Callithrix jacchus: one gene and its partners. Each later gene encodes a partner of the first gene's protein in a complex. Links are inferred from orthologs where the notes say so. Each region holds a gene or a part of one and is shown in the gene's direction. Other genes may lie near its edges.

Region 1 (3,500 bases):
AAGAATACATATCCACCTTATGAATTTTGCCATTGATTTTTAGATACTTGGCATATCGAAATTTTATGATTGACACGTATCGCCTAAACCCCCAAGAGTACTTAACCAGCACTGCTTGTCGGAGGAACTTAACTGGAGATGTATGTGCTGTAATGAGGTAAAGCATTTGACTTTTTCTGAGACATTTCACTGTAGGAATTTACTGATGCATTGCTATCGAATGTTTGCTTGATTAAACTGGATATTTCAACTGGGTAAAACACCTAATTTTAGTTATCTCATTTAGGGGTTGATTATATTTTGTTTCTTTTTATTTCATTCAATTAAATTATTTTTATTTTATTATTTTAATTTAATGTTATCATGATGGGGTTTCACAGTGTTGCCAAGGCTGTTTTCAATCTCCTGGCCTTAAGTGATTCTCCTACCTTGACCTCCCGAAGCACTGTGATTGCAGGTGTGAGCCCTGGATTCAGGATTAGGAGTTGAATATTTAAAATACTTAATTTAGGCTGGGTGCGGTGGCTCATGCCTGTAATCCCAGCACTTTGAGAATCTGAGGCGTGTGGATCACCTGAGGACAGGAGTTCAAGCCTGGCCAACATAGTGAAACCCCGTCTCTATTAAAAGTACAGAAATTAGCTGGGTGTGGTGGCACATGACTATATCTCAGCTACTCAAGAGGCAGGAGAACCCAGGAGACAGAGATTGCAGTGTCATCCAGCCTGGGTGACAGATCGAGACTCTCTCAGAATAAATAAATATTTAATTCAGTTTTTTAGATTTTATAATTCATATTTTTAATTTTTTGTCAAATCATAAAATAAGCAGGGATGGAGTGGGTTCAGGTCGAGAGTGGATAAGCTCTGTGCCCTAGATCTGCCTAAAGACAAAAAAACAAAATGTGGATTTTTTTGGTGTGTATATTTGGTCTGTGTGTGATTTCATTTATTAAAATGGACCTAAATATGTATTTGTGCTCTCATTTCTGTGGTTGAAATGATTAGATTTTGTAATAGGTTTAGGGGGTGCTGTGTTATCAACGTTACTTGTGACTTAAGAAATTCTTCCTCAAAATCTGTCAGGTAGTTTGTGGTGTTTCATAGCCTGCTGAGAATATTTACTTCTTTTATTGTTTCTGTTTTTTAATAACATCATGATGATGATGATGATGATGATGATGATAAAGCACCTGAAGTTGATTCTGTAGATTTTAACTTTTCGAGCTTTTTTCTTTAGGGTCCATGCCTTTTTAGAGCAGTGGGGACTTGTTAATTACCAAGTTGACCCGGAAAGTAGACCCATGGCAATGGGACCGCCTCCTACTCCTCATTTTAATGTATTAGCTGATACACCCTCTGGGCTTGTGCCTCTGCATCTTCGATCACCTCAGGTAAATTAATGTCGACTTTTTCTTCAGAACTGGATAGTAACACCTGACTATTTACAGCATATCTATTTAGGAATAATTGTTATTGTATTATAATGGCTATTAATAGTGCTATTTCTTTTATGGTTGGTTGTGTGTGTGTGTTTTGGTGTACTGTAAATATTACAGTCCAAAATAATATATGCTATTTAAGTTAATGCTGTCCCACCAATCCCAAGACCCACTGCCTTACTCTATCAAATTATTAATTTACTTTTATATACATAACTTCCTTTATCCTTCTGTCATCAGATACTCATAAGTAAGCAGATGATGCAAAATGTTTTTTTTCTTCCTTCAGTCTTTGTTCTAAAAATGTGAGGCAAAGAAATCTTTATAACTTGTCCTAAGATTTATAAAGTTTATATTCATATATACATTATCAAACAGATTATGTCAAGGAAATTGTATTTAGCATTAAGTTGTATTTACAGGAACCTAAGGTATAAGAATTTTGTCCTATGGTGAAATAGAAGATAGTAATGAAAATTTTTTATCCTTTTTGGGACTTAAATGGACGCGAAAATGTGTCTTAAGTGTTGAATTTTTGTTAGAAGTATAGTGTAGAAGTGTGGGTATTTATTTTTTTGTAGGAGATCCACCAAGAGTGGTTTAAGTGCCAATATTAAACAGTTTTTTTTTTTTTGAGCTGGTGTTGTTCTCTCACCCAAGCTGGAGTGCAGTGGCGCAGTCTTGGCTAACTGCAACTACTGTCTCCCAGGTTCAAGTAGTTCTCCTGCCTCTACTTCCTGAGTAGCTGGGATTGCATTCCCTGCTAATTTTTGTATTTTTAGTAGAAACAGGGTTTACCATGTTAGTCTGGCTGGTCTGGAACTCCTGACCTCGTGATTTACCTGCCTTAGGCTCCCAAAGTGCTGAGATTACAAGCATGAGCCACCGTGTCCAGCCCCAGCAATTTTTTTTTTTTTTTGAGGCGGAGTTTCGCTCATTACCCAGGCTGGAGTGCAATGGCGCGATCTCGGCTCACTGCAACCTCCGCCTCCTGGGTTCAGGCAATTCTCCTGCCTCAGCCTCCTGAGTAGCTGGGATTACAGGCACGCGCCACGGTGCCCAGCTAATTTTTTGTATTTTTAGTAGAGACAGGGTTTCACCATGTTGGTCATGCCGGTCTGCTGACCTTGTGACCCACCTGTCTCAGCCTCCCAAAGTGCTGGGATTACAGGCATGAACCACTGCGTATGGCCCAGTTTTTGAAAAACATTTATCCTCTTGACTTTAAAGAGGTTAACTCAGCCATTTATCATTTATTTGACTCAGGTCCCTGCTGCTCAACAGATGCTAAATTTTCCTGAGAAAAGCAAGGAAAAACCAATTGATTTGCAGAACTTTGGCCTTCGTACTGACATTTACTCCAAGAAAACATTAGCAAAGGTAAGGATTTTGTTTTTAATCTAAACTCATGCAGGGTATAATCCAGCACGTCTTAGTACTTCTATGATACATCTAATGAGTTTTCTACTCAAATCTGGTGATATTTAAAAAAACACTATTAGAGAAAATCGAGGGGGGGAATGGAAAATTTGAACAGATAATTGGAATCTGTGAAAAGAATCATGAGGTCGGGGGTGGTGGTTCATGCCTGTAACTGCAGCACTTTGAGAAGCCGAGGTGGTCGGATCATGAGTTCAGGAGATAGAGACCATCCTGGCCAACACGGTGAAACCCTGTCTCTAATAAAAATACAAAAAGGAACTGGGCATGGTGCACATGCCTATAATCCCAGCTACTTGGGAGGCTGAGGCAGGAGAATAGCTTGAACCAGGGAGTCAGAGGTTTGCACCACTGCACTCCAGCCTGGTAACAGAGTGAGACTCTGTCTCAAAAAAAAAAAGAGTCATGAATATTTTAGAACTGAAAAGTATACTTGAAATTATTTGATGGGTTTAATAACAGGCTGCATATAGCAAAAGATAGGTTAGTGAACTCAGAGACAAATTAGTATATATGTGGAAACCTAGGTACCAAGAGCGAAAGAAATTGAATTGAAGTAGGGAGGGGCTAGGATAAAGAGAGGAGAGTGCAAAGATGTGATACAGTACAGGCTGGACAT
Region 2 (4,200 bases), on another chromosome or scaffold:
GTTTACAAGGAAAAGGGGAGGATTACCTAAGTTGTTTGGAAACAATTACCCTTGGCTATAAAGATCAATAACAAAGGGGATGCCGGTCCAAGATTGGGCAGCAGTAGCTGTGCACATGTCCTTAAAGCACTTTTTGTGTAGTTTTGTGGCCTTTGTGCAAGGTTGTGGTTTTGGCAGTTTTTTGTGTTAATTCTTGATATCAGGCTATTATTAGTGAGAACCTTCCCTTCGTGGCTTTCCTTGACTCCATTTTGTAACAGCTTTCACAATGCAGATAGCCGCAGAGGTTTTTTTTTTTTTTTTTTAAACGCTGAACTCTATCCGGGGAGTCTGAGCGAGGGTCCTGATGAATGAAGACAATTTAGCTGAAAGACGCAGTTGCCTCTTGGCAGATTCGGACAAGGAGTGCAGTGGAGGCTGACGCCTGCACGGGGCAGGACTGAGGAACAGGGCCCGTCTGGCCTCAGCTGCGAGAACGAAGCTGGGTCAGCAGGGCTCGAAGGCCTGGCACCGTCGGTGGGGACCTCTCGGACCGGAGCAAGGAGCCAGGCTGGGCTGGGCGTGGTGACGGTGGTTGTCAATGCGACATCCTAGAAATCATCCCTTTGTCTTCCCGAAGTTCTGTTGCTGGGGCGTAGGCAACAACAATGAATGGAAAGGAAGCGGGATTGTACTTTGAATCTGAGCGCATCCTCCACCTTCCAGAACAAGCATCTGCAGGCGCAGGTGAGGGAGGCCGTGATGGCAGCTGCGGACTGGCCAAGCTCGGCTCCTCACGTGAGGTCCCAGGGGAGCCCAGACGCAGCCGAGATCATACACCGGCTCCGCGTTCTCCCGGGGGTACCTGCCAAGCCGGCCTCAGGCCCCTCCCCGGCTCCCCGCCACCCGCGTCCTCGGCGGAGGCATCAACCACGCGGGAACGCAGGCACGCGGGCCGAATCTCGGCGACTTTTTCCCGCCGTGCCTTCCCCACGCTCCTCGGCGGGCGCCTTCGGCCCCCCGGGGCAACTGCGGATGCCCCGGGAAGCGCGGCCGGGACAGGTGGCTCCGCGGCTGTCTTCCGGCGCGCCAGCGAGAGGGGCGGCCCGAGAACAAAGGCGGGCGAGGGGCGGCGACTGCGAGCGCGCAAAGGCAGAGGCCGGGCAGTCCCCGGGCGGCTTCCGGGGCACGGCGACCCCCGGCAGGGAGGGGGCGGGGCGGGGACCCCCAAGAGGGGCGGGGCGAGGCAAGGCAAGCGCAGCGGGGCGCGGAGAGAGGGAGGGAGAGAGGGTGACGCGCGTAGGGGCCGGGCCGGGCTGGGGGCCGCGGGGAGGGGGCGGCTGCCAGTGCGCCAAGTGGAGACGAGCCGGGCCGGGGCGGGCCGGAGGGCGGGCGGGAGGTGGGGCGCGCCGCGGGCTGGTGGGAGCCGCGGCCGAGTACGACGCCGGGCCGTGGGGAGCCGGGCGGCGGCGGGGCTGAGGCAACTGCGGGTCTGAGGGGAGCAGCGGGGCTGAGGCGGCGGCGGAGGTGAAGGGAGCCGCGGCGGCAGTGAGGCCAGCGGCGGAGCTGTGGGGGGCGGCGGCCGGGCGGGTCGGGCTGACGTGAGGAGCGCCGCCGCCGCCGGGCGTCCTCCATTCCGGCCCACATCCACGCGCCCTCCCAGCCTCCGGCGCCCTCCCGCGCGGGCGGCGCGCTGGCGGCGGCCATGGCGGTGGCGGCGGCGCCGCTGGCGGGCCGCGGGGCGCGCGGCGGCAGGGGCCGGCCCCCGGGCGGGCGGGCGGAGGGGGCGGGGCCGGGGCGGCGGGGGGCCCGCGCGGTGGCGGCGGCAGCGGCGGCGGCGGCCGGGACGAGGCGGAGGCGACGGCGGCGGCGGCGGCGCGGGGCGCTCGGGCTGATGGCGGCGGCGGCGGCCGGGCCCGGGGCGGCACTGTCTCCGCGGCCGTGCGAAAGCGACCCGGCCACTCCCGGAGCGCAGTCCCCGAAGGTGAGGAAGCGGCCTGCGCGACCCGACCCCAACTCTGACCCTCTCCGGGGCCGGGGCTCCGCGGTCTCGGCCCAGTCCCACCGGCGGCCGGCCGGCGTCTCGGGGGCGTGGGCCGCAGGCTGTGCGCTGCCCCTGAGACCCGCGGTGGTCGGCGAGGCGGGGCCCGGAGAGGAGCCCCCGGCCCCAAGCGAGCAACAAGTGCGGGCGGGCGGGCGGGCGGTGCGGCCTCCCTGAAGTTGGCGGCCGGCCGCGTTTGACGAGACTGTCCCCAGACGCCTGTTCCCTGGCCAGCTGCGGGACGGAACGCGCCCGGGGCGGGGAGACGCGGCCTCGCAGGGGCCTGCATTCCGGGCATAGTTTGCCGGAGTGTTTGAAAGCTCACTGCAGAACACGCTGGCGAACGAGGCGGAAAATGCACACGGTGAACTCGGTGCGGGTCAGCGCGTACGCAGGCGTCCGGATGTTTTCAGCGGAAGTCTGCTTCTAAGCTTCGTACTGCTGGGAGGCGACAAGAACTCGGCGATTGTGGCGAGAAGGAGATGACAGTGGCTTGTCACACATCCAAACGTTTCGGTTCTAAGTTAGGCCAGCGGCTAAGGGAGGACAGAAGGTTGGAAGGAGGAGTGATGTTTTAAAAACCGCAACGCTTGAAATCGGCAAGCTGAAAGGAGAAGGCGGTGTAGTGTGCGCGCTGGCGGGGACCCGTCCTGGGGCAGCCTGGCGGGGCTGCGCCTGCCCGGGGCTCCTCCCTCCGCGCACGTCCATCCTGCTGTCAGAGAGACTCCCGCCCATGGAAGTAACTAGAGTAAGGCTGAACGCACGTTCCCGCACTGCCAGCATCGGACGTCTGGCCCGGCACCTGGAGGGCACCGAGGCACTGAGCCAGGGCCCCCTGAGTGCACCTTAGGAAGGATGTGATGCATAGAAACTCATCTAACCTGTGGGTGGAAACCACTTGGAACTCTGGAAGGCACAGCTTTGAGCCTTTGTAAACATGGGCTTCTGTACCGGGATTGCGGTTGCAAATTCTTACCTTATTCCGTCAGGTATTGGGAGCAATATTGCTGTGACTACCTACCTCTAGAAGAAGGCCCGCTGCGCACATGCTCACTTTATATAATAATGCCTTTGCCTAGAATTTATGGTAGCAATTTAAAACACTGTGTATAAAATTGTGCTCTCAGCTTTTTTGAGCACTTCACATTTTTCAGTTTCTTTTTATTTTTGTATATATTTCAGTGTCTCCGTTTTTTAGCTAAAGGGAAATATGCTGATGTTTAAGGATATAAAAATCCTTAAAATTTTCACAAAAAAGATAAAAAATGGAATGCTTAAAATGAGTTATGTTGCAAGTACTGAATATGAAATGTTGCAGTTGTGATACATGCAAATTTTCAGAGTAGATTTAGGCTACGCAGAGGTCTTTCATGAAATGCTTATTTTATAAGGTCTGAAAAAGAATACATATCTTTGGAAAAGAACCAGTAAATTTCTAGGAGCTAGAGACATTTGAGACTTGATTATCATAATCATCATTTTAACTAATATTATGACATAATTATTTGCTAGTTCTTGTTGTAAGTGCTTTTAATATAGTAGCTCATTTAATCATTGAATTAGCTGTGTAATAGGGGCAATATTATAGTCTCAAATTTTCAGATTGGAAAGTACTCACAGAAAGTAACCCCAGCTAGTGAGTGCATTGAGGATCCAGGCTGTCCAGGTTTGGCATGCCTTGGCACTATGCCATATTGCCACTTTATATTCTTTTGCAGGGTTGCTTTCATTTTAATATGCAGCAAGAGGACCCTGGTATTTAGTAAAATTGGATTCGAGTTAAAAGCAATATTACATTTTTACAAAGTATCCTTTTTAGACCTTAAGCCTTGGCTAATATGTAAATACATCAATTTCCTAACGTCTGATACTTTTACTGAGTGAGATGGTTGAATTTATAACCTTGATATTCTTGCCACATAATGGATTGCAGTTAAAATCTATAAGCTTCTTAAAAAAAAAAAATCCCCTCCCTCTCTCAACCCTCTTCTTGGTTTGTGTGTTGCTGTATTATAGATTGATGGCCCTTATTAGGGTATATTTTTGCTAAATTATAGCAATGTAAGAAGAAAAGTGAATAGTTAGAATTGATAATCTGTTTTCAGTCTTGTATGTCCTCTTTTCACAGGGGCATAAATGCCTAAAGTAGTCAAAATTGTCCTATAAACTGGCGCCTAGTT
Region 3 (3,500 bases), on another chromosome or scaffold:
GCTGTCCCACAGAGTCATATATTTGGCAGAGTACAGAACATACCAGCTTGTACTTCTACAGTTTCACAGGGTCAACAGTTAATCACCACATCACCTCAACCTGTGCAAACTTCATCTCAACAGACATCAACTGGTAGCCAGTCACAAGATACTGTTATCATAGCACCCCCACAGTACGTAACAACTCCTGCATCCAATATTGTCTCAGCAACTTCAGTACAGAATTTTCAGGTAACTACAGGACAAATGGTTACCATTGCTGGTGTCCCAAGTCCACAACCCTCAAGGGTAGGCTTTCAGAACATTGCACCAAAACCTCTCCCTTCTCAGCAAATTTCATCAACAGTAGTACAGCAGCCTATTCAACAACCACAGCAGCCAACCCAACAAAGTGTAGTAATTGTAAGCCAGCCAGCTCAACAAGGTCAGACTTATGCACCAGCCATTCACCAAATTGTTCTTGCTAATCCAGCAGCTCTTCCAACTGGTCAGACAGTTCAGCTAACTGGACAACCTAGCATAACTCCATCATCTTCACCATCACCTGTCCCAGCTACTAATAACCAAGTCCCTACTGCCATGTCGTCTTCTTCCACCTCTCAATCACAGGGACCACCCCCTACTGTCAGTCAAATGTTATCTGTGAAAAGACAGCAACAGCAGCAGCATTCACCAGCACCCCCACCACAGCAGGTACAAGTACAAGTTCAGCAGCCCCAACAAGTACAGATGCAAGTTCAACCTCAGCAGTCAAATGCAGGAGTTGGTCAGCCTGCTTCTGGTGAGTCGAGTCTGATTAAACAGCTTCTGCTTCCAAAACGTGGTCCTTCAACACCAGGTGGTAAGCTTATTCTTCCAGCTCCACAGATTCCTCCCCCTAATAATGCAAGAGCGCCTAGCCCTCAGGTGGTCTATCAGGTGGCCAGTAACCAAGCCACAGGTTTTGGAGTGCAGGGGCAAACTCCAGCTCAGCAGCTATTGGTTGGGCAGCAAAATGTTCAGTTGGTCCAAAGTGCAATGCCATCCACAGGGGGAGTACAAACTGTGCCCATTTCGAACTTACAAATATTGCCAGGCCCACTGATCTCAAATAGCCCAGCAACCATTTTCCAAGGGACTTCTGGCAACCAGGTAACCATAACAGTTGTGCCAAATACAAGTTTTGCAACTGCAACCGTGAGTCAGGGAAATGCAACTCAGCTCATTGCTCCAGCAGGCATTACCATGAGCGGAACGCAACCAGGAGTTGGACTTCCAGTGCAAACACTTCCAGCCACTCAAGCATCTCCTGCTGGACAATCATCCTGTACTACTGCTACTCCCCCATTCAAAGGTGATAAAATAATTTGCCAAAAGGAGGAGGAAGCAAAGGAAGCAACAGGTTTACATGTTCACGAACGTAAAATTGAAGTCATGGAGAACCCGTCCTGCCGACGAGGAACCACAAACACCAGCAATGGGGATACAAAGGAAAATGAAATGCAGTTGGGAAGTCTTTTAAATGGGAGAAAGTACAGTGACTCAAGTCTACCTCCTTCAAACTCAGGGAAGATTCAAAGTGAGACTAATCAGTGCTCACTAATCAGTAATGGGCCGTCAGTGGAATTAGGTGAGAATGGAGCATCTGGAAAACAGAACTCAGAACAAATAGACATGCAGGATATCAAAAGTGATTTGAAAAAACCGCTAGTTAATGGAATCTGTGATTTTGATAAAGGAGATGGTTCTCATTTAAGCAAAAACATTCCAAATCACAAAACTTCCAATCATGTAGGAAATGGTGAGATATCTCCAGTGGAACCTCAAGGGACTTTAGACGTCACTCAGCAAGATACTGCCAAAGGTGATCAACTGGAAAGAATTCCTAATGGACCTGTATTAACTTTGGGTGGTTCATCATCTGTGAGCAGTATACAGGAGGCTTCAAATATGGCAACACAACAATTTAGTGGTACTGATTTTCCTAATGGACCTCTAGCTTCCTGTTTGAATTCAGATGTGCCTCAGCAACGCCCAAGTGTAGTTGTCTCACCACATTCTACAACCTCTGTTATACAGGGACATCAAATCTTAGCAGTTCCCGACTCAGGATCAAAAGTGTCCCCTTCTCCTGCCCTTTCATCTGATGTTCGGTCTACAAATGGCACAGCAGAATGCAAAACTGTAAAGAGGCCAGCAGAGGATAATGATAGGGAAACAGTCACAGGAATTCCAAATAAAGTAGGAGTTAGAATTGTTACAATCAGTGACCCCAACAATGCTGGCTGTAGTGCAACAATGGTTGCTGTGCCAGCTGGAGCAGATCCAAGCACTGTAGCTAAAGTAGCAATAGAAAGTGCTGTTCAGCAAAAGCAACAGCATCCACCAACATACGTACAGAATATGGTCCCACAGGTAAGTTATTCTATGATCGTATTTCTCTTATAAAATTTCTGATCTGTAAATAAGGTTTTAGAGGGAAATGCACTGTTTTTCATGTCTCACCTTGAAAAGTTACTCTATCAGCTCACTTGTATCCAAACTGTCCTGTTCTTTTTCTCTGGTGATATAATACTAGTTTTCAATTTTAGTACATGATTTAAAGAATCTTTCAATTTTGTTATAGATTCAAACTAATAATTTTGTAGGCTCAAGGTAGAGAAGCAGTTGCTAATCTAACATCTTTTGGAGAATTTAAAAAATGTATCTTAATCTCTTTCTTGAGTATAATGCCCAGGGGTTGGGGGAATGGAGGTTCTAAGAGTAAGTACTCTAAATGGGGATTTCTGTATTTGATTTTGACCTGAATGTGTTTTAGTGGCCCCTTTAATAGTACTTTTTGTAATAAGGATGAATCTTGTAATAACTTTATCAGTCGTATTCTTTTTGTATTTATGTATTGAATTAGCCTCCTTTAGTGTTAAAAAAGTATTTATTGTAATTTCTGTTTGTTTCAGGTATTCTGATACTTTTTTCTGTTTCTTACTCCTTTGCTTTACTGTCATATTCCTGCTATTCTCTTTTTAATGCCTAATATTCCATCTCTGCATGCCTTAGTAAATACAAGTATTTTCTAAAATCAGCACTACTAAATTGAGGGTCCAATCAGGCTATAAAGATTTTGATGACAATCTTACATGTTCTTTCGACTGAACTCATGGATTCTCTTAACAGTTGTCACCACCTATTTCCTGGATCAGTTTCACTCTGTTTTGTTTTTTTTTTTTTTTTCATTCCTGCATAGCCAGAACCTTCTGTGACTACTGCCAACTCTGCTAGCCCAGTTCTGGCTTGAGTTTCTTCTGTATGCTTACGGTGATGACAGCAGATAGATGGCCATTGTTGGCATTAGTACCAAACCTAGGTGTGGGCAGCAGCCAAATGGAAAGTACAAGAACAAAAGGAAGAGCCCTTTGCTTCAGAACAGTTATTGCTCTTGCAGTTGCTGATGGATATTACTAATATGCATCTTTCTTCATGTGAATGAATAAAGTTGCCTTCTTGAAGTTCAAAAAAAAAAA
Region 4 (3,926 bases), about 4.9 Mb from region 1:
TATGTGGAAATTAACATGCTGAACAAGTTTACAGACTCATCACCAAATCACTGCTCTTTCTCACAGCCACACTTCTGATGCCCAAGAGCTGCCATGATCAGTCTATCCAATGCCATTTCCTGAAACCAAATCATATTAACCCAGACTTTCCCTTTGCAAATGAATAGGGCAAATGAATCAGTTTAGCAATGTGTTTGGTATAGCTCTCCCAACTACTACACTTACCTTTTTTTGGATTTTATACCGCTTATGGCAGGTCATGCGTTTACTGGCTTTCTTTAACTCTACAAAAAAAATAAATAATCACATCACAAATGTGTTAATGCAAATGATTAGTTCTGGGTGAACGCACTATGGAGTTATACCCTTTTTTAATGTTATTGGCTGCCAAAGCTAACGTTAAGACTAATGCGAAATGCCTAATACAGACATACATGCCCACTCTCAAATCCTAGAGAATCTGATTCAGTAGATCCAGAATGGAGTCCAAGTTCTCTGCACTTACTGTTACAATATTAGAATGGGATCATACACAGCAGCGTATGAGATCCAAAATGACAGCCACTTCGTGTAAAACAGCACGAATTCAAGAGAGGAACAGAGAGTCTGGGAGGCGATGTGTGCACCTGGCCCGGTATGCACGTGACCAGGGAAGGAAAAATATTGGGCCTGAAACCTAGCTTAAACGCTGCTTCCTTCCGAAAATCTAGCCTAGTCTTGCCCACCCTCCGCCAGGCTTCCTTCTGCAGAATGAGCCCACGCCTAGGATCGGCGTAGGGCCTTCCAAATCGGTTCTACGAGAAAACAGGGCCAAGGCCTACGCGCAGGCTCCCACCTCCATGCCCGCAGAGACCAAGCCGTAAAAGAGTGTCGTAGTGGCTGCAGCAACTACCAGACATGGGTCCCTCCACGCCCGCCTTTTGATCCCACTTACTAGGCCGCTTCATGTTGGTTGTAGAAAGTGGCGCAAGGACAACAACTTGCCTCCGCTGGCGCCACGTGTGAACTGAGGCCACCGACGAGGGTCACGTACGTACGTTCCCGCCGTAAAGTGCGTCACCGCCTCTCTGCGTGCGCGCGCACGCAGTGTCGCGCGGAGCAGGGATCACTTGGCGGCGGCGGGGCTGATTTTGCGGCGGCACCGGGAGGGGTAAGGGAGGTGAGGGCGGCGGGTGCCGGAGCGACGGCAGCGGCCACGGCCGGAGGAGCTATAGCAGCAGCCGTGGCGGCCACGGGGCGGGGCGCGGCGGTCAGTGACCGCGGCCGGGGCTGCAGGCGGCGGAGCGGCTGGGTAAGGCCGGGCCCTGGGCGGGTGGGGCCGCTCCCCCTCGCCCAGCTGCCGGGCCTTTGTGTGGGCCCGGGCGGGCGGGAGCCGCGGCGGAGGCCCCGCCCCGGCCGTGGGGAGACGCGCCGGTCGGGCCGGGCGCGCGGGGTTGGGCGGGGCGTGGCGGCGGACCTCGGGACGGGCACGGTAGCCCTGTCGCACCTGCCGGCAGGGACAAAGGCGTACTACGGCCCGGAAACTCCCCGCGCCACTCTTTCCCGCTCGTCGCGGGGCAGCTTCAAAGCTGTCAACGTTTCCCTCAGTCCCCAATACCAGTGACAGGTCGGGAAAGTCCTTCATTTCCTCGGTTGCTCAGGGCCTGCTTTTTTGTTATTGTTTCTTGACGGTTCGACACAAACTCTTAGTGATTTTCTTTCTTTATTTTTTCCGGGTATTTTGATCAATGGGACTTGTATTTATAAGTAGAGGCCAGATATTTCAGCTTCTCATCTCAACACTGCAAAGAATCCGGGATTTTGGGAACTGTATTTCTTGGTTTGGGGAAGCACAGTTTTGTTATAATAAGGGAGAAGTTTTAATTTAAAGGGGCAGAAAGAGTTGCAAAAACAGAGAAAAAAAATCTGGAAAAATAAGTACACGGTATAATGGATATAGAAATTCTTACAATTATAGAAGCGTGTGTTGGAGCAAAACATTTTAACTTAATTTCCGACACACTAGGACGCTCGACAAATAATTTCAGGGTTTTTTTTTTCCTCCCATTTGGCTATGTGCTTTTCCTCAAAAAGTGCAAATAGGACTCGTGCACGTGAAAGAGTAGCGTAATTTTTGCTTTATTACTTACAGGTTGCCCATATTTAATTTTGAGCTTCAAAATGGAAGATTGGAAAAATATGTTTTGAAGAGTTGTTTCAGATTAAAACAATAAAGAGCTTGTGTGTGGATGAATGGAAGGGGCTTGACCGCTTTCTTTGGCTTTGGGAATGTACAAAATACCTCAAATGTTAATATCCTACCAAAATTCCCAAGATAAGTACATTGTGGTATAGCTATATAATAGATTAGTATCAAGCTATCAAACATCATTAGGAAGAATGTTGACTTGGAAGAATCTTCATTAAGTTAAAACACAGGCTGTAGAATAATACATTTGGTTTGTTAGCATTTCGGTAAAATAATAACAGGTAACTAAGGCATAGATAAATACCAAAAATTGTGAATGACAACATTAAGAATGGTTTTTTTTTCTCTGAAACAGGTTTATAGTTGTTTTTTTTTTTCTTTGAGTCCTGTTTTCCAAGATTTTGTTTTAAGCATGTATTGTAGTGCTAAATATTTCTAGAAATACAGGAAAGGGCTAAAAGTTCATAAACTGTCAAAATACACCATTTGTCTATAATGTCAGTAGTCTCCCAGTTGCACATTATTAAGTATTCTTAACTGTCCACTATCAGTTATTGATTGTCAGATTTTTGAACTTGTGACTATAATCAAGGCTGTTTTAAAACTTGGAATTGAACTCTGAAATCTGTCTTTCCTCTTCATGGAAAAACAGACAAATTTGCTAAAGCGATACTTATAGTACTTTTTTTTTTTTTGGAGGTAGGATCTCACTTTGTTGCCCAGGCTAGAATGCAAGTAAAGTGATCATGGCTCACAGAAGCCTTATATACTCCTAGACTCAAGCAGTCCTCCCACGATGGCATCCCAAGTAGCTAGGATTACAGATGTGCAGCACCACACCCAGCTAATTTTTATTTTTGTAGAAACAAGGTCAATCTGTATTGTCCAATCTGGTCTTGAACTCTGCCTTAAGTGATCCTTCTGCTTCAGCCTCCCCAAGTGCTGGGATTACAGATATGAGCCCCTGTGCCTGACTCAGGCCTTTTAAACTATACAAACAAACTTCTTTTTTTAAAGGTCCCACTTAAGTGCACCTTTTTTTTTTTTGAGACAGAGTCTCACTCTGTCCCCCAGGCTGGAGTGCAGTGGTGTGATCCTTGCTCACTGCAACCTCTGCCTCCTGGGTTCAAGCAATTCTTGCACCTCACGCTCTCAAGTATCTGGGATTAATGGGCATGCACTACCTCGCCTGGCTAATTTTTTGTATTTTTAGTAGAGACGGGGGTCTCACGGTGTTGGTCAGGCTGGTCTTGAACTCCTGACCTCAGGTAATCTGCCGGCCTCGGCCTAAGTTGCTGGGATTACAGGCGTGAGCCACTGTGCCTGGTCCTAAGTGCACTTTTAACACATTAATTAAAAGATAAATTGAGCACCTAATCTATACTAAATACTATTCTATAAGACAGGGCTATAAAAATGAACAAGATGCTGCTCCTGTGCCTGGGGAACATGCAGAAGTGATTTCATGGACATCATTTCACTGTTCCAACGATCTGAGAGATACAGGAACACTTGATATTCTTTTTGTTTGAATCCGTCTCTCGCTCTGTCACTCAGACTGGACTGCAGTGGTATGATCTCGGCTCACTGCAACCTCCGCCTCCTGGGTTCAAGCGATTCTTGTGCCTTAGCCTCCTGAGTAGCTGTGTTTACAGGCATGTACCACCACACCCAGCTAATTTTTTTTTTTTTTTTTTTTTGTAGAGACAGGGTTTCACCATGTTGGCCAGGCTGGTCT
Region 5 (3,500 bases), on another chromosome or scaffold:
GTACCTTCCGCAGCCCCGAGGCTCGCAATGCCCTGTGCGCTGCCTGGCTTCAGTTAGCTTACTGCAGCCAGACGCCAAGCCCCTCCGCCAGAGCCGCGCGGATTCCGGCGCCCCTGCCCCTCCTACCCATCGTTCCCACCCATCGCTCAGCGCTCAGGGTCACCAGCCGAGGGTCTGGGGGGGAGGGGAGACGCCGGCTCACCGCGCCTGGAGCGCGGGCCCTGGTCTGACTCTCGGGCGCCCGTTTCTGCTTCACCCCCGCCCCACCCCCAGCGCCCCGGGATGCCGTCTGGAGCCCGGATGCCCCACCAGGGGGCGCCCATGGGCCCCCCGGGCTCCCCGTACATGGGCAGCCCCGCCGTGCGACCCGGCCTGGCCCCCGCGGGCATGGAGCCCGCCCGCAAGCGAGCAGCGCCCCCGCCCGGGCAGAGCCAGGCACAGAGCCAGGGCCAGCCGGTGCCCACCGCCCCCGCGCGGAGCCGCAGGTGAGTGGGGGGCCCGGCGCGGAGGGGGCGTGCAGAGGCGGGCCCTGGGGACCCGCAGGGACCAGGTGGGCGAGTAACGGGGATTGGAAGGGGCGAGGAAGAATGATTAGCAGTGAGCGAGGCTTCCTGGGTGGGATGCCCTCTGGGGAGGTGGGCTTAGGGGGCACCGGCCTGATTCTTTTGTGTGCCCCCAGTAGAGACAGGCTGCGACCCTCCGCAGCTAGTACCGCTTCCCTGCACGCTCCCCTCACCCTTCTCCTTGTCACCTGCTCAGACCCTCTCTTCACCCGTCAGGTTCTGGGTGATGCTTCAGTCTTTGGGGTGGGGCGGGGCTTCCAATGGGACTGAGGGCAGAGCTGTAAGACTGTGTTGCCCGAAGTGTGGTTCTCCGCTGAGCCTTCCTGCCAGCCCCCCTTGGGCTGTTTCAAAGCCACTCCAGATTTTCTCAATGGGACTCTCTGGCCATGGGGGTGGAGCTTGGGGATTTGCCCGGTGGGTAGATGGTCTATGCCCAGTCCCGCTCTTAATTCTTAGGCACTCTGGACCAGGTCTACTCCCAAGTCACCAGGGCCAGTCCATTTCTTTCTTTCCTCCAGCACCTGGTGACACCCTCAAAGCCCCTGATGGCTCCTGGCAACAGCAGTGCTCCTCTGGGTCTCAGTATTTAGCCAAATACACATGCTTTTTTTGCACAACAGATGGATTTCCATAAAAGGTGTAATATCAATTTTATCTCATTATTAAGTATTTTTTACACATCAGGGAAAATTCACACTTATAGGAATCCCATGATGAATTATTTTGCAAAGCGCATCGTCATCTGTACAGAAAATGGTAATTCCCTGATTTATCTTGTATAAATGGAGAGTTACACATAATCTGTTTAAAACAAATCGGACCTTTAATGAAATCTGCTTGTTAGCCTTCGATTTCTGCATAGGGAGGGGGCAGTGGTTGAAAATACCACACGGGGGCAGTATGAAGCTATTCTCTAGGCTGCGTTTTCATCTCTTGACCCGCCAAGGTTTTTTGGGGGAGTCAGAAGCAACAATGGGTCAGAAAGAGCCCACATCCAGCTGCTACTACCACAGGCCTAGTCAATTTTGCCCCAGCCTGAAGTCATACCCACACAGGAGAGCATCCATGCACTTCTGGGCCCCTATGGCTGCAGTGTGTCCCTCACCCTGTTGGTAGGTAGGCCACAGACATGAGCACCCCCTGCCCATCATCGTTCTCTCTTCCAAGCCCAGGGCGGCTGGCTGGGATGCAAGTCCCACCAGCTTCACACCATCACCTCCTGCTCCATGGATAGGAAGGAGGTCATCTCTCTCCCCTCTGAGCTTAGACCCCTTTGGACAGGGCACCCCCTCCTGCTTTGCAGAAAAGGTCCTGAGAACCTGGCTTCCCTCTCCTTTGTCCTCCCTGATCCCCACCTTTCCTCCAACACTTCTGCAGCTCCCATCTTTGGAAGCACCGCCCCCACCCACCAGTCCCTCCTAAGTCTAAATTTTTCTGTCCCTAAGGATGTGGCGGGGTGGAAGGGGCTCCCAGGCCAGAGAATATTGGATGGGACACCCCTATGTCCTGAGAGAGGACAGAGCACCAGTTCCACACACAACCGTCATAGCCCTTGGGCAGGCAGACAAGCCGGCTGTGGGAACCCCAGCCAGGCAGGCAGAGATGTCGGGATAATTTAGCAGGTGGCCTCGTTACTCCCAGATCTGTCGCCATGGTAACCTGTTTTTTTCTTTAAAAAATGTACAGTGCCAAGAGGAGGAAGATGGCTGACAAAATCCTCCCTCAAAGGGTGAGTGCCTTTCACAGCAGCCCCAGCCCACCCCCAACCCTTTGCTGCTCCGCCCTCCTCTCCCCCAACCCAAGCTGCCTCCCCTCCCCCCTCAGAAGCAGAGCTTCAGCGTTACAGTCACTTTCACTTTTTGTTTAAAAAAGCTCATTAATAAGTGAGGCTCCCCAGGCCAGAGGGAGGGAGTGGGGTGCAGGGAAGCAGCAGAGCCACTGGGGCCAGAACACAGGGCTGAGGGTCAGGGGATTGGACACTAAGACCTAAAGGTGTAGGCCCAGGAGGGGACAAGGGCTAGGGGATCAGAGGCTGCCAGGCAGAATGAAGGTGATAGAAGGTGGCCAGAGATCCTGGGCATCCTAAAGGGACCCAGGTCCAGCTAGGTATGAGGACAGCACAGTTGGGACAGGTGCAGGGACTGAACGAGGTGCCAGCAGCGAAGCAAACACCACTGTCCAACTTGTCTCAGGGACCGAGCCCTTACTATGCACTTTGCAGGGCCCAGGGGAAGCCCAGTAGGTGTATGACGTGGAAAATGATAAGATGAGGAGACTAAAGACTAGTGCTTGCTGGGCTCCACAGTTACTATCTCCTCTTCTGATGATGAAACGCATGGCTCTTCCTAAAGGGAGAAGCAATTGTTTTCCCTACACAGAGAGGGCCCTACTGCTAGATAATGGCATTCTGAGGAGAGAGGTCCTGTTCCCACTGTGAAAGCTCCATGCCCAGAAGTAGGATGGCTCCCCTCCACATCTTTTGTACCCTAGGATCACACAACATGCATACATTCCATGGTACAACCCTGGACTGAAGCCTCTGACTTCTGCCCTGTTCTTCCTTCTCCAGATTCGGGAGCTGGTCCCCGAGTCCCAGGCTTACATGGACCTCTTAGCGTTTGAGAGGAAACTGGATCAAACCATCATGAGGAAGCGGGTGGACATCCAGGAGGCTCTCAAGAGGCCCATGAAGGTGCCTTAGTTTGGGGGTAGGAGGGGGACTCAGTCTCGTGCCCAGGATGGGGAAGCAAGGTGGTCAGGGTGGGAGCACACAGCATTCACTTGGTTCTACACTCTATTTCTACAGCAAAAGCGGAAGCTGCGTCTTTATATCTCCAACACTTTTAACCCTGCGAAGCCTGATGCTGAGGATTCCGATGGCAGCATTGCCTCCTGGGAGCTGCGGGTAGAGGGGAAGCTCCTGGATGATGTACGTCC
Region 6 (3,500 bases), on another chromosome or scaffold:
GAGAGTTCCCTTCATGGCATCATAGGAAATAACAAAAAGGAAATTTGCTCCCAGGGGAGGTTTAATAATTGAGATGGCACTGGCAACAGTGCTATGTTCCACCTCCTCACACTCAGAGAGGAATTTGGCAGTGTCAGAAATGATGTGTTTTCAATATTACTATGGGAATGTGTTTGTACATTTGGGATCCTTTTTAAAAAATTCGTATTGTGTCTTTTGCATATGTATTTCAAGATTCATTGGAGACGCCTGATAACGAGATGCACTGCTTTTGTTTGTTACCGGAGAAATGGAGCTAGGGAAAGGGGTAGTAATTTTTTCCAAGTGGAAGACCTAATTAGTAGTAGACCCAATAGAAAAATCAAAGGCCTCTGATTCCTTATTATTTTGTAAGCTAAATTAGGCAGGAAAGTAGATTTAGAAGATTTGTATATGTTTTGTCTGCTTGCCTCTTTTCATGCTATTGGTAAGTTTGAGGTAGTTGATTGTACAGCTTTAATTATCCTTAAACACTTTTCTTAGAGGTTGTGGAGGAAGGAAAAAAAAATGGGGTAGTTTTTTTTTTTTAAACCTGTACATCCCAGCCTGACTGATTTTATACCTTTTCCCCTGGCATATCTGCTGCTTCTAATGAGGAAGACAAGGACTGTATAGAATACTTTCCTCATCTCACTTCTCTCTCTAGGAGCTTTGCAGCAGGATCTGGGGACATCTGAGCACCAGATGTTTTTCTTGGCCATTGCCACTGTTTTGTAGAGAATGGATAGGCTTAGTGGAACATTCCTCATTGTTCTCACCTTAAAAAACTGACTCTTAAGAGGACTGAAGGGTAAGTTATGAGAGAGGAAGGGAACTGTGTAGACGGGAAGGAGGACTGGGCCATGTAAGCTTTCTAGATGTTTTAAGCGATAGTCACGTTGGGGAAGTTTGCTGTATTTAATTCTGCAGTTTTGGCATAAATAGAGGAATTATATTTTTGTATTGCCCTTTCTGCCAGTGAATAGATCCTTTTATTTTAGATAAAACAGGGGTCCTAGATCTGACAGGTAAGGAATGTGCATGGATTGAGGGAGTTTGGTTGTCAGAACTAATTTTTGAAAAGCTGTATGTATAGATTTTATGTGAAATAGTCCAACTTTTAAATGTTAGCAACCAGTCCAAACAAAACAAAACACACTTCTGAGCCAAGCCCTAAAGGTAGTAACCAGCCAGGCTAATAGAAAAGAAGGCATGGAGCCAAGAATATCTCAGTTATAGAACCTGCTAGGGCCATCTTGGAAAAATCGGTCATTAACTTCTGCTTCAAGTGGGTACCTGTATTCTGTGCCTGTTGTGAGCAGAGGTAGCATGACCATGAAATGTGGGATAGCTGTCATGATACAGTATTAATAGAAGGGGCGTTGGATGAGGAGATGCACAATCCACATGTAGGAACAAGCATATCATCCTGGGCCCAAATTTCCTTCTTTGTAAGAAGTTGATTTGGAATTACATGGTCGGTAAGGAACATTGTTGCTTCAACACTGTTATTACAGGATGTCTTATGTGGCCTATCAGGCATGGGACATTGTTGAGATTCTCTTGTCTTAAAGATAATCATAGCATATCATGTACCAAGGATGGGTTCTTTGGTTTTCCACACCACCACTTGCCTGTGGGAAATAGTTGTTATTTTCCCTTGCTTATCACATGTCCATCCTTTCTCTTGTGTTACAGATTCGGTGGAAATACATGATAGTGGATGAAGGCCACCGAATGAAGAATCACCACTGCAAGCTGACTCAGGTCTTGAACACTCACTACGTGGCCCCCAGAAGGATCCTCTTGACTGGGACCCCGCTGCAGAATAAACTCCCTGAACTCTGGGCCCTCCTCAACTTCCTCCTCCCCACAATTTTTAAGAGCTGCAGCACTTTCGAACAATGGTTTAATGCTCCATTTGCCATGACTGGTGAAAGGGTACTGGTCTGACTTTTGTTTTTTCCACTATTTTCCACTACATGACAATGAAATGAAATGAAAGGCCCTAAAGCTGAGAACATTACAGCCACAGAACACCTGCAGGGTGGTTGACAGTGTTGCATAGTTTATGAAACCCATCAATGGGTGGACGTGGTCTTCTGTCAGGGTTATTTTCCCCTCCTGGGAAAATGGGTCTAGTGGTACTGGGGGCATCTAACCCCTTTGTCTTTTGCCAGCATGTTTACCAGGCTACCAGAAAAGGGTCCTGACCGGTGGAATGCTTAACTGCAGTGGGTCACAGGGAGGGATGAACATGGAGATATTTTGCTGAATTAATTTAAGCAGACCAAATTAACCAACTAAATACAAGCTTTAAAACAAATCTTTCCTTGTTATAAGCTTGGAAGTTCCCTTTAAAATATTTCCACATAAAGAGTTTGTGTGTAAAACAGAACTAGTTTTCACTAATTTTCTGCAGACCTTTTTTCTATTTCTTTTTTTTAGGTTTTAGTGTGAGTTTCAGTTTTGTGTGTAAATAAAAAGTCTTCCTGGAGTAGCCATTTGTTTTCAAATTTCTTACCGTTCCTTCCACTGTCTTAAGAGCTCATTTGTGAAAGCAAGACATGGGCCATTGCAAGAAAAGAAATGGGCACATGTCATTTTCATAGAGGTTCCTCATTCGTAGGAATGAAAGGCCACTAAAAATGCTTTAGCAAAATTTTGGTTTGAATTGTTTGGCCCTTTAATTTTGAGGCACCTGGGCCCCCTGTCAATAGTTAACTCACTGGCTTGCCAATTTGTAGAAAGTAGTCTCAATCAACTCTGCCCCCTAGAGGTTAGTAGGAGAAGGTGAAAGAGAAAGCTGGGAAATCTATAAAAAGGACTAAAGTTGAACTAGAGAGGGCTGAGAAAAGGAAAGGAGTGAAGTTAGAGGGACTTACAGGGCCACCAACATAAACTGGATAGACTCTACTTTTGATCCTCTTCTTTATATGTTCAAACCTCTGTTCCTTTAGTATTTTTCTGTGACTGAAACAACCAAGATGAAGAGCCTAATTTAAGGCTGCCCCTTTAAATCGGAAACATATCAACTTATTGCCCCCCTTCTCTCATTCTGTCACCTTCATCATCAGTGATACCACATACAATGTGGGGCTGTTGACACCACTGATAGAAAACTGGTAGCTTCTGGGCTCTTTTCCACAGAACTCAGCATTAAGACAAAGACACCTATTTAGAGGTAATTTTATTACTGCTTGGTAGGCAGGTGGAAAGGTAATTCAGAGGTGGGTATAACAGACATAAACCTGGATTTAATGCATGTAAAATTTCAATCATGTATTGAAACACATAAATGTAACATAAAGCTTTATGGTATGAAATGTCCTTTTTTTTTTTATCCTTTTCTTAAAAAAATCAAATTTATATAAGCCTCTCTTATAGGTGGACTTAAATGAAGAAGAAACTATATTGATCATCAGACGTCTGCATAAGGTATTAAGACCATTTTTACTAAGGAGACTGAAGAAAGAAGTTGA
Region 7 (3,500 bases), on another chromosome or scaffold:
AAAAAAAAAATAGAAAGCAGAATAGTAGTTGCCAGAGATGGGAGCAGAGTAGGAATGGGGAGTTGTCGTCTAACGGGTAGAGTTTCAGTTTTGCAAAATGAAAGAATTCTGGAAGTGGATGTAGTGGTGGTTGGAAGCACTGTTGTCTGCATGTGCTTCATGGGAAACTTCATGTTATGTGTATTTTACCACAATTAAGACATTGAAACAAAATCCCAATTTTGCTTTTTAAAAATTCTTCCAAATACTTGGGTTAAGAAATGTTATTTTTAGAGACTTTCCCTCTCATTTTAAGCTGTTATAATCCAATTTGAAATCTACATAGAATGAAAACAGAAAGACATCACAATATTGCTTCAGAATAAACCCTTGATTCTCCCTTTTGCCCTATGACCTCTGTGGTTCCTTCCCTTTCTACTTATTCTTCCCACCGTGCACTCCTTTGTGCCCCTGCCGCCCGACCCCAGGAAGAGGCTTAAATTTACCTGGCATAGGTTATGTTATGTGTATTTCCTTGAGGCATTTATTAGTCTGTGCCTATATTTTATTTGTTAGGCATTTGATCTCATTGATTATTTTAGTGCTTTGCATTTGATCAATTATATCGTGCTCTATTTTTGGTCTTTGAAAAGGACACTACCTTAAAATCAGTACCATCACCACGTGTCCAAAAACCAGAGTCAGGAATGTAAAATTTACTGTGCTTAACCAGATTCTCAGTCCAGCAAACCAGAAAGGTCTTTCTATTTGTGTTTTAAACTCCGTGAGTTGAATTATTTTGAATTCGAAATTGTTGAATTCCGTTAGTTTTTTCTCAGAAAATTATTTTTCTTTAAGTAATACAGTTTTAAAAGATTGGTGCCTGTTCCTCTATGCCTCCTTCCTCCTGCAATAGCCCTACTTTTATAGAATGTTTCCTCTGTCCTTCTAGTTTTTGTTTATATGGAGTGTTTCTCTTCCGTTGTAATGGAAAACTGGGTATCTTTGCTGGTGGTTTGGGTTCACCTAGAGTGCCTTAGCTGGTGACTTCTGAGAACAAAACGTAGCCAGTAGGAGTGAGGAGGTTCTAGAAGCACGATGCCCTCTAGATTCTGTACATAAGGTTGTTCCCGAGCTACCTCCCCTCTGGAGTGGGACCTATGCCTTTGAGAACATGGACCGTTCTCTCTTACTGGTGATTCATTCTTGAAAGCCCATGCTCTTTATTAAAGGAGTTTCCAAGTTGCTTGGCGGATTTGGGATAGAAAATAAAACCTGGTCAAGACCTGACACTGAGTTGCATTCTGCTCGTTCACAAGGCTCTTGGTGCTCATTGCCTTGGTCTTCATAACTGGGAGATCTTCAGTCTTCCCAGGGAGGTGGGTGTTTGACATCAGTTTCCCTCTGGGTGTGTTTCAGTTTTCCCTGGCCTCACTCCTTCACTCTCTGACTCTGGCAGGCTCGGGGACCAGTTCTACAAGGAAGCCATTGAGCACTGCCGGAGTTACAACTCCCGGCTGTGTGCAGAGCGCAGCGTGCGCCTTCCCTTCCTGGACTCACAGACTGGGGTGGCCCAGAACAACTGCTACATCTGGATGGAGAAGAGGCACCGAGGCCCAGGTGAGCTATGCCACTCCTGCTCTGGAGGGAGGAAGACCAGAGCTTGTCTGGGAATCCAGGCAGCCTGGGTGGGATCGGGGCGGGGCAAGCTGCACATGGGCCTCTGAGATACCTTAAAGAAACTCAGCTACTTTTATACTCATGGCAGGTGTTCCAAGGAATGCGTGTGAGTCATTGAAGCCATGTGGCAGGGGTGGGGTAGGGTGGGAAGTGAAAGAGCTAAAGGTGTTTATCCCAAAGAAGGCCAGACCGAGGACATGACAGCAATCTTCATCTTTTACCTTTGGGTGTTGGTTACAAGCTGGAAATCTGCTGTTAGATCTGAGTGTGAGGCCTAGCTTTGTCATCAAATTTCTGTCCCTCAGGTTCTTCATCTGTAAAATGTGAATAATAGTACTTACCACATAAGATTTTGTCTGAAATAAATGGGAAGTTTGATAAAAACTCATAACATGAGTTTAGCACATGCTAAGTATGAGCTTCCAAATTGCTGGCTATTATTATTATTACTGTTATTACTACGACTACAGGACACTAGTCTTCTAGGCCCCAAAGAACAGAATAAAGACCTTCTTATTAGGGAGATGGCTACAGGAATGTGACTTTTTGGCTCTGTCTGACTCTATTTTTTAAAACGTTTTATTTGGAAAAATTTCACATTTATATGAAACTGAAGACAACAGTCAAACAAATTTCCATGTAACCCTGCTTCAACAGTGATCAACTCAAGGTCAATCGTGTTTCATTTATACGCACTTCTCACTTTCCTCCCTGACCTCAGATTATTTGGAAGCAAATCCACGAAAGCACATGATTTTATCCGTAAATATTTTGTTGTGTATCTCTAAATGGTAAAGAACTTAAACAAACAAATCAACCCACAATCACTATCACAGCTCAAAGAATTAGCAATAAGACTTTGATATCATCAAATATTTGGTCAACATTCATGTTTCCCCCTGTAGTTTAAATCAGGATCCAAATGGAAGCCCTACATTGCAAGTGACTGATGTGTCTTTTAACATCTCTGGGTTTCTCTCTGTCTCTGCCTGTGACTCTCTCTTTCCTTCTTGCGTGTTACCTGTTGAAGATGCTGGGTTGCTTACCCTGTGGGGTTTCCCAGAAGGATTTGGTGGTTGCATCCCCACAGTGTTATTCCTATGAATTGGTAGTTAGGTCTGGAGACTTACTCAGGTTCAAGGTTTTTTTTTTTTTTTGGGCAAGAACAACTCCTAAGTGGTAGTGTGTACTTTCATCAGGAGGCTCATACAGTCTGGTTACCTTTTACTGATGTTAGCCCTTCATGATAATTGCCTAGATTTTTTATCCCATTAAGTGTTGCAAAAAGTTAATATCCAATCCAGGACTATCATTATATCTTCATTTGTTAGCTCTGCAACTTCTATAAAGAAAAACATTCCCTCATTAAAGTTTTAGTTATTGCGAGATACAGTTCACATATGAAAGGCAGGATAAATGACTTTTTTCCCCTCTGTTTACCAGTTTTCAAAATAATGAGTTGGTTCTCTAGCATTCTCCAAAGATGATCAATGTAATAGTAATTATTTTTTTGAATACCACCAGAAACTCACAGATGTAAACATATTTGATGTATTTTAATCCAGTGTAGCTATTACTCTTAGGATGCGTACCTTGCCTCATCTTTGGTCCTTCAGGATTCTGGCCAGTGCTGGTGATTTGAAACAACCCCAGTAGTTTCTGATAGCCTTTTTGCCACCCTACTATTAGGATAAAATATATCAGGCTCATCTTGTACACTTCTGGCTCTCCAGGCCTGAAATCAGCTATTTCTTGAAGAAATTCTGGCTTCTTTCTGTAGGAAATGTTACTCAGAGACCACAGTCTGGTGGTGGTCATTGCTACTGGCTTGGTCATTGTTT

The links.
Region 2: SMARCC1 (region 1) and PHF10 share a complex: the UniProt entries of both Homo sapiens proteins name them as parts of the neural progenitors-specific chromatin remodeling complex. The link is inferred for Callithrix jacchus from reciprocal best matches to the Homo sapiens genes SMARCC1 and PHF10.
Region 3: SMARCC1 (region 1) and ARID2 share a complex: the UniProt entries of both Homo sapiens proteins name them as parts of the SWI/SNF-B (PBAF) chromatin remodeling complex. The link is inferred for Callithrix jacchus from reciprocal best matches to the Homo sapiens genes SMARCC1 and ARID2.
Region 4: SMARCC1 (region 1) and PBRM1 share a complex: the UniProt entries of both Homo sapiens proteins name them as parts of the SWI/SNF-B (PBAF) chromatin remodeling complex. The link is inferred for Callithrix jacchus from reciprocal best matches to the Homo sapiens genes SMARCC1 and PBRM1.
Region 5: SMARCC1 (region 1) and SMARCD3 share a complex: the UniProt entries of both Homo sapiens proteins name them as parts of the BAF complex. The link is inferred for Callithrix jacchus from reciprocal best matches to the Homo sapiens genes SMARCC1 and SMARCD3.
Region 6: SMARCC1 (region 1) and SMARCA2 share a complex: the UniProt entries of both Homo sapiens proteins name them as parts of the BAF complex. The link is inferred for Callithrix jacchus from reciprocal best matches to the Homo sapiens genes SMARCC1 and SMARCA2.
Region 7: SMARCC1 (region 1) and DPF3 share a complex: the UniProt entries of both Homo sapiens proteins name them as parts of the BAF complex. The link is inferred for Callithrix jacchus from reciprocal best matches to the Homo sapiens genes SMARCC1 and DPF3.

The regions. Positions count from the first base shown.
Region 1 is NC_133516.1:30,366,093-30,369,592, reverse strand, and holds part of SMARCC1 (SWI/SNF complex subunit SMARCC1), read left to right. Parts: intron 1-43; coding exon 44-157; intron 158-1,239; coding exon 1,240-1,393; intron 1,394-2,707; coding exon 2,708-2,821; intron 2,822-3,500. UniProt on the Homo sapiens protein: Involved in transcriptional activation and repression of select genes by chromatin remodeling (alteration of DNA-nucleosome topology).
Region 2 is NC_133505.1:176,378,851-176,383,050, reverse strand, and holds the start of PHF10 (PHD finger protein 10), read left to right. Parts: upstream 1-1,400; 5' UTR 1,401-1,684; coding exon 1,685-1,963; intron 1,964-2,442; exon of another isoform or gene 2,443-3,009; intron 3,010-4,200. UniProt on the Homo sapiens protein: Involved in transcription activity regulation by chromatin remodeling. Belongs to the neural progenitors-specific chromatin remodeling complex (npBAF complex) and is required for the proliferation of neural progenitors.
Region 3 is NC_133510.1:29,508,525-29,512,024, reverse strand, and holds part of ARID2 (AT-rich interactive domain-containing protein 2), read left to right. Parts: coding exon 1-2,394; intron 2,395-3,223; coding exon of another isoform or gene 3,224-3,274; exon of another isoform or gene 3,275-3,489; intron 3,490-3,500. UniProt on the Homo sapiens protein: Involved in transcriptional activation and repression of select genes by chromatin remodeling (alteration of DNA-nucleosome topology). Required for the stability of the SWI/SNF chromatin remodeling complex SWI/SNF-B (PBAF).
Region 4 is NC_133516.1:35,227,355-35,231,280, reverse strand, and holds the start of PBRM1 (protein polybromo-1), read left to right. Parts: upstream 1-1,126; 5' UTR 1,127-1,291; intron 1,292-1,431; exon of another isoform or gene 1,432-1,606; intron 1,607-3,926. Other genes in the region: GNL3 (guanine nucleotide-binding protein-like 3), read right to left, coding at 226-284, 935-947. UniProt on the Homo sapiens protein: Involved in transcriptional activation and repression of select genes by chromatin remodeling (alteration of DNA-nucleosome topology). Required for the stability of the SWI/SNF chromatin remodeling complex SWI/SNF-B (PBAF).
Region 5 is NC_133512.1:96,968,451-96,971,950, forward strand, and holds part of SMARCD3 (SWI/SNF-related matrix-associated actin-dependent regulator of chromatin subfamily D member 3), read left to right. Parts: intron 1-273; coding exon 274-485; intron 486-2,249; coding exon 2,250-2,292; intron 2,293-3,132; coding exon 3,133-3,255; intron 3,256-3,369; coding exon 3,370-3,492; intron 3,493-3,500. UniProt on the Homo sapiens protein: Involved in transcriptional activation and repression of select genes by chromatin remodeling (alteration of DNA-nucleosome topology).
Region 6 is NC_133502.1:108,563,011-108,566,510, forward strand, and holds part of SMARCA2 (SWI/SNF-related matrix-associated actin-dependent regulator of chromatin subfamily A member 2), read left to right. Parts: intron 1-1,716; coding exon 1,717-1,959; intron 1,960-3,405; coding exon 3,406-3,500. UniProt on the Homo sapiens protein: ATPase involved in transcriptional activation and repression of select genes by chromatin remodeling (alteration of DNA-nucleosome topology).
Region 7 is NC_133509.1:107,683,174-107,686,673, reverse strand, and holds part of DPF3 (zinc finger protein DPF3), read left to right. Parts: intron 1-1,438; coding exon 1,439-1,599; intron 1,600-3,500. UniProt on the Homo sapiens protein: Belongs to the neuron-specific chromatin remodeling complex (nBAF complex).